Linked DNA regions of Sus scrofa. The protein of the gene in region 2 interacts with the protein of the main gene of each other region in a biochemical or structural test. Links are inferred from orthologs where the notes say so. Each region holds a gene or a part of one and is shown on either strand. Other genes may lie near its edges. The genes, in order: NR2C1 and HDAC3.

Region 1 (4,441 bases), on a different chromosome or scaffold from region 2:
CAGGCTAGGGGTCAGGTAGCTATAGCCTGAGAACTGATCCGAGCCATGTCTGCAAACTATACTGCATCTCAGAGCAACGCCAGATCCTCAGCCCACTCATCGGGGCCAGGGATGGAACCAGCATCCTCAGGGATACCAGCTAGGTTGTTACTGCTGAGCCACAATGGGAACTCCCATATCCAGTTCCCACCAGTCCCATTTCCATCCACCAACTGCAGAATGCTGCCACCCAAAGCAGGATTTTGCAAACTTCCTGTTGTGAGTCACTTATGGATGGGAAAATACAAATTTTCTTAAAAAAAAGTAAATTAAGGAGTTCTCTTGGAGTTGCTACTGTGGCTCAGCAGGTTAAGAACATGCCATAGTGTTCGTGAGGATCCCTGGCCTCGCTCACTGGGTTAAGGATCAGGCATTGCTGCAGGCTGAGGCTGGGCTGCAGATGCTGCTCGGATCTGCTATGTCTGTGGCTGTGGTGTAGGCGTGCAGCTACAGCTCTGATTCAACTCCTGGCCAGGGAACTTCCATAGAGCAGGTGCAGCCAGTGGGAGGAGGAAATTAAAATAGAAAACACTGCATCAGGTACAGTGAGGGTTAAGAACAGTTTCGTGAAGACGTTTCAATTTAATCTGTGTGTATGTGTTGAGGTCGAGCTATGATGCAAAATTTATTTTTCTGTGGGGCAGTCAAAAAAAGCTTGAAAATAGGTTTTAAGACAAGGATTCTTTTTTTTCTGGTGGGATGGGTCACACATCCCTTTGAAAATCTGACGGAAGTTAAGGTCTCCCTCACCAGAAAACAAGTTTATGTTCATTCACACTACAAATGATGGTACATGCCGAATTTCAAAGGGCTCATAAAACCTCCTGTGGTCAGTCCAAGGATTTTTCAAGTTAAGAATCCTTTGAGTATAATTTCAGCTGCTGCCAGAATTGAGTTTACTGGATGAATATTTACTTTACACAACTCTGTGTACGAAAATACCCTACAAGGCGAGAATCACCTTTGTGTCAGCATATGTGACCAAGAGCAAGGTCTTGAGATGCTTAAAAAACTGAAATACATCCTATGCTCCCGCTTCAGAACTGTGAGTGCCTCTTTAATGGTCAAAGAATAAAGTTTCAGCCCTTCTGGATTTTTTTCAATATTTCCTAAGTTCCTATAACATGCCTGCCATTGCAGACACAAAGGAGCATCCTTTAAAGCCTGTCTTCCTCATCTTCTCATTTTTAACTCCTACCAGTCCCAAGGGGCCTCTGTTCAGGACAAAGTGGAATGTTCTTATTCCCAAATACACAATTCCAAGCTCCTCCTCCTGCATTTAAATTACCTCGACCTTTAAAACTCAGTTCTAATGTTTTTGTTTGTTTTTAACTCAATCTTTCTAGATGGATACAGCATTTATTGTGCATACTAAGGTTAACTAGGATTCAAGAAGAGACTTCTCTTTTACTTCTCATATAGCATGCAAAATTTTATGTAAAAGTACATTTTTTAGAGACAGTCCATGGCTTTCATAAAAGATCTTAAGAGGCTGGAGAGGGTCCTTTATGGCTCAAAAAAGGTATAATTATATACACTATTCATCCTTTATTACATGCAGTTTCTTTTTTCTATTCTCCACGGGTAGGAAGTATATTCCTTGTGTACAAGACCCACAGATAGTAGCTACTCTGGAAATGTTTGCCGCCTTTGATTTGTGCCTCCCTCAAAACCCGCCCTAAAAAGACGGAAATGCCCCTACAAAGAATGATGAAAATGTATCTCATGTGATCCACTTTTTAAAAATAATTAACAGGAATATTTCTTTTAGATCTACCAAAGTGACACACAAGCAAAAGCTAAAAACAATCACTGTGTACCAACCAACCGCGCAGCAGGCATTGTTCAAAAACCTCAAAGTCGAAGGTCTATTTACAAGTTCAGGAGGCACAAAACCCCAAAGGCCTTAATTTCAACCCCTTTTGCTTCTCCTTTCCAGTTCGCATTATTTTTTAAACAGGTGACCTATTTGGTGAAGGTTACGAGACAACCTGGCAACATTTACCATTCAACAAACGCTATCTGCAGGAGTTGGAGGTAGTTTCTTAACAAAAGAGCTCCAGGAAGCTTGGACATGCCCATTTCAGGGAGGACCCTCGGCCGATCCATTCTTTCGCAAAAGATACAGATCCAAAGGCAGCGGCCACTCCCGCCCCATCCGTTCTTAAGTTGAAAGCGTTATTCCGTCTGCCCTGGGTGAGCACGAGAATTAGGTAAGAGGCCCGCGCGGGGAAAGGGATCCGGGCCTCGGCTCGCGCCCACGAGTGGCCAGGTGGACCCCGCAGCGTCCCGCCGGCGCTCGAGCCCACGCTGCATCCCGGGCCCGGCGGCGGTGGCGCTCGACTCCCCAAGGCGGGGGAAGCGGCGGCGGCGCCGAGACGGAAGCTTTTCCTGTAGGTGAAAGGTCAGAGGCGCCGCGGGAGAGGCTGCCGTGCGCGCCCAGCCGCTCGCGGACTCCCTCTCGCGCCCGCCACTCCGGCCCCTCTTTGGGCTCCGGGCCCCGTGCCCGGCCCTGGCTACGGCCTCGGCCTCTCTCGGAGCCCCGCACAGTCGGCCTCGCCGCTCCGGCCGCTGTCCGCGCTCCCAGCCCGCCCCGAGCAGCGCGGCGCTGCCAGAGGGCGGGCTCTACCGGCTGCAGCCGCAGGCTGTTGCGGGAACTGGGGACGCAGCCGTTGGCAGTTGGGAGGAAAGGACCTCCCCGTGCCCTACGCCCCCCGTCCCGGGCGCGGCTACGGCCGCTTTTTTCCTCACCGGCTCTTACTGGCGCTTCTCTGCCGAGCTACGTTCCCCGGGCGTAGACCGGACAGTCCCACTGCGGCGGCTGCTGCGGGGGGGGGGGGGCCTCCGGGAAGAGGCAGGTTGGAGAAAACTAAGGGGGAAGGGTTTTAAAAAGTGGGGGCAGGGAGCTTTCGGGGTTTGTGTATTTGTGGGGGGGTCAGAGTTCGTGACCCCTCCCTCGGCTCCTCGTTGCGCGCTCCCGCCCGCGCCTGCGCATTAGTGGCGAGAGGAGGTCGTGACGTTCCCTGGGTGGATGAGAGAACCCAGCCTCTGAATAATTGGCTGCCCCCTATCGGGTAGGAGGGAGACTGCACTGCCAGAGCCCTATGGGCACTTTTAGAAGCCGCTTGTTTAGCGTCGTTTGCAAAAGGTGGTAAAGGAAGATCCGATTTTGGCAAAAATAAATGACCGAATCAGTTTTATGACAGTTCGGTTTCTAACTTGTGGGAATCTGGCTCTGTTAACAGACTTTCTCTTACCTTAGACTAAAAGGTTTATTAGAAGAGTAACAAAATAGGGTACATCCCAATAAAATATTTTAAATTACCTTAAATAAAACAAGCTGGGGTATAATCCTGTATGTGGCGAAGTTTTACTTAGTCAACTCTTGTGAATAAATAGGTTTAATGGCCAAACGGAGCTAGTGATTATATTCTAAATCATTTAGAATGTAATCTTCCTAAGACTGGCTTTAGTCTGTTTTCCTCAGCGGTTTGTTTCCAAGCTTATAGGACAGTGCTTAAAGGGCAATAAACATTTGCGAAAAGAAGAGGCATTGACGGAGCATCACATTCTTTTTTTTTTTTTTTTTTTTTAATGGCCACACCCCTGGCATATGGCAGTTTCCAGGCTAGGAATTGCAGCTGTAGCTGCTGGCCTTCGCCATAGCAATCCCAGACCTGAGTCACCTACACCACAGCTCAAGGCTATGAGCAAGGCCAGGAATTGGACTCATATCTCCATGGATACTAGTCGGACTTGTTACCGCTGAGCCAGGGTGGGAACTCTAGCCACAAGGGAACACATTCTGATACTACCAGAAGCATGGCGGTGTAGCAGGAAGAGCTGCCCTGTGTGGTTTTCACATTAAGAGCTTTCTTTTAGTATTGATAGGCACTAGAAAAGCAGTCAGGGATTCAGGAAGCCCAAGTCTGGAAAAACAAAAGTGAGCTGAGAAGGAGAACATCACTTTTGTCATTTTCCTCTGGACCCAGGCAGCTGGACACAAAAGGGGCATGCACCAACCCTTAACACGTGGAAATATGTTTTTCGTCTCATTCTCCAAAGTCTCCTTTTCCTATTAGTATCATTTGTTGTGTTTGGTGGTTTTAAGGCAGCCCTTCCTGCAGGCAGTCAAATTTGGAATCAGATAGTTAAGTCTCAAAGGTGACAACTAAGAAAGGATACTGTAGGTCCAATGGAAAAAGGCAATCTGAGACCTTTCCTCTATTCTCAGTGCCTAATATGGGGTTACCCCCTTATCATCCAATTAATTCACCTAAGTCATGGTAAACTGACTTAATAAAGTTTGAAAGTAGAAGCCAGCTTGGGAATATATTGTATGAGTGAAAGAGAGCTACCCCTAATTATGATTCAGGAAAACAGGTCTGTGTGGTTCATCTTT
Region 2 (2,683 bases):
AGCGTCCAACACCTGAATCGACTCCTCCTCAAGTAACTGCTCTGCCCAGGTTTGTCTAACTCTTGACTAGAATGCTCTGTTAACCCTCCACATACAAGGAAGATCATCCACATGGAATAATATACACATGTCCTAAGGTAACGTACGTGCAGAATGAATGTTTACCATGATTTTTATTATATACATATTAACCCATCTCCTCGCTCTTCGTGCACAGACAGCTAGCAAGAATTAAGAACATTCCCACGGAGTTCCCGTCGTGGTGCAGTGGTTTACGAATCCGACTAGGAACCATGAGGTTGCAGGTTCGATCCCTGGCCTTGCTCATTGGGTTAAGGATCTGGCGCTGCCGTGAGCTGTGGTGTAGTTGCAGACGCGGCTCAGATCCCGCACTGCTGTGGCTCTGGCGTAGGCCGGTGGCTACAGCTCCGATTAGACCCCTAGCCTGGGAACCTCCCTATGCCTCAGGAGCGGCTCTAGAAAATGCAAAAAAGCCAAAAAATAAAAAAACATTCCCAGAAGGCAAAAGGTACAAAAAATACCAACTCGGTTTATTGGATAAAAACAGTGGTAAAATGGACATAAAGCCAAAAGTTAGAGCAGGACATTTTCATATCCTCCCCCCTTTCCAAGTCACACTTCCCATTATCTGGGTTAAAGTATTAGGGGGCCAGGGCTCCCTAAAATCCCTTACTCTTCACCTGGAAGCAAGGCTTGCAGTAGGAGAAGCCTGGGGAGGTGGACGTCAGAAGCAACCGTACTGCTGCCTATTCCTTCATCCCCAAAGTCTCTGGGTTGGAGGGAAGCAGAGAAGGAATGAGGAAGCCAGAAGGGCTGGGACTGGCCTCTAGGGCCCACGGCCCGAGAGGTCCTAGAGACGTCTATCCTTATCCCCATCCGATCCCTAACAGGTACCGTGGTCTAGCCTTGGAGGGAGAAGAAAGGGAACAGCTGGTTCAAGAACCAGAGGTGGTCTCCAAAGCCTCCCCCGGTGTTGGTAACTGCCCTGAAAGTAACCAGACCAGGGGTAGGGGAGTCACACCTTTCCCTCCCACCCAACTAAGAGGAAAAAAGAAATTCCTGGGGACACGGCAAGCCCAGTCAGTCTTAAATTCCACATCGCTTTCCTTGTCATTGTCATGGTCTCCGTCATAGAACTCATTGGGCGCCTCCGGCCTACAAAGCAAGGAAAGACAGGAAGAGAGGTCAGGCTCCCACTCTCCAATTCCCATCTTCTCCCCCACAGGCACCCTCTCTGGAGCCACTTCCCAGGCCCCCGCTGTCGGGGAACCGCGCCTCTCCTCCTGCTCGTAGCGACCAGTCAGGATTCACACGCCCATTCATGCATCCATAAACACCTGCTGAGAGAGCACTCTGTGCCAGGCACTGCCATAGCCAGAGAGCAGAGAGCAAGCCAGACAGAATGGCTGCCTAGCCTCAAAAACCCCTCCAATAAACGAGGCTGACGATAAGTAACAAAGTAAAAACATAACCACGGTCATTTCAGGGGGGAAAGCACGTGGCTGGGAGTGTGGGAGGACGAGGGGAAAACCTCAGGCAGGATTGTCAGGAAAGGCTGGAGGAAGAAGGGAGGACCTTCCCCTGCGAAGGAGCCGCCCAGGAAGGGCGGTCCAACCCGTGAGGACACCAGTACAGAGGTTCGAAGGCCGACGGAGCGGACGGGTTCCAGCAAGAGAAGGGGGTCAGGACGGTCAGACGTGTGGAGGGCGGAGGGGCCTCAGAGAGGAGCCCGCACGTGGGAAGGGCCAGCACGCAAGTCCTTAGAAAGCCACCATCAGAAACGTGGCTTTAGGAGTTCCCGTCGTGGCTCAGCGGTTCATGAATCCGACTAGGAACCATGAGGCTGTGGGTTCGATCCCGGCGTTGCTGTGAGCTGTGGTGTAGGTTGCAGACGCGGCTCGGATTCTGCATTGCTGTGGCTGTGGTGTGTAGCCTGATGGCTACAGCTCCGATTCCACCCCTTAGCCTGGGAACCTCCATATGCCATGGGTGTGGCCCTAGAAAATGGCAAAAAGACCAAAAAAAAAAACAAAGGAAACTTGGCTTTTCTTCTAGTGCAATGGAAAGAAGCGCTTTAAACAGAGGCATGGCATCCAATAAACCTCTAGAGAGCAAAGGAGCGTGAAAGCAATGCAAGGCCCAATGAGTATTCAACGCCGTTCTCGTGCGTGTGGAAAACTGCCCTCTGGGAGAACGGGAATGACTAATAATGGAATTATCTTGCCCACAGCTGGTAAGCGAGAAAGAAGGGAGAAAGGCATCAAAGAGAAGCTGGGGACCCAAGCAGGAAAGGCCCCCTCTGCCTGGAAAGCAAAGTCTGAGGGACCTCTAAGGGCACCAGGGTTATAAGGTGAGGCTCAGAGACTCAGCTTTGCATCTCAGCCCTGATATTTACCTGACTAGCTGTGGGACCTCTGTTAAGTCAGTTATGTAACCTCCTCTTCTGGTAATTTAAGGAGGATACAACCTCTTAGGGTTGTCTGATGGCAAGAGAATGAGGACACGACGACATGTATCACCTGTACTTTAATATAAAGCACTCACTCCTCTGCTTAGCAAACCCACAAAAAGTGGTAACTCTCAGTACGATTCTGCAAATGGAGCTCCAGGTAGCAAAGAAAAGGAGCTCAGTGGGTAATCTGACAGTGACCAGGGCTTAGGA

The links.
Region 1: the proteins of HDAC3 (region 2) and NR2C1 form a complex in vitro, tested with the Homo sapiens proteins (4 studies listed by BioGRID). The link is inferred for Sus scrofa from reciprocal best matches to the Homo sapiens genes HDAC3 and NR2C1.

What each region holds. Positions count from the first base shown.
Region 1 is NC_010447.5:88,229,861-88,234,301, reverse strand, and holds the start of NR2C1 (nuclear receptor subfamily 2 group C member 1), read right to left. Parts: upstream 3,114-4,441; 5' UTR 2,791-3,113; intron 2,488-2,790; exon of another isoform or gene 2,045-2,487; intron 1-2,044. UniProt on the Homo sapiens protein: Orphan nuclear receptor. Binds the IR7 element in the promoter of its own gene in an autoregulatory negative feedback mechanism. Primarily repressor of a broad range of genes.
Region 2 is NC_010444.4:143,272,659-143,275,341, forward strand, and holds the end of HDAC3 (histone deacetylase 3), read right to left. Parts: intron 1,177-2,683; coding exon 957-1,176; 3' UTR 530-956; downstream 1-529. UniProt on the Homo sapiens protein: Histone deacetylase that catalyzes the deacetylation of lysine residues on the N-terminal part of the core histones (H2A, H2B, H3 and H4), and some other non-histone substrates.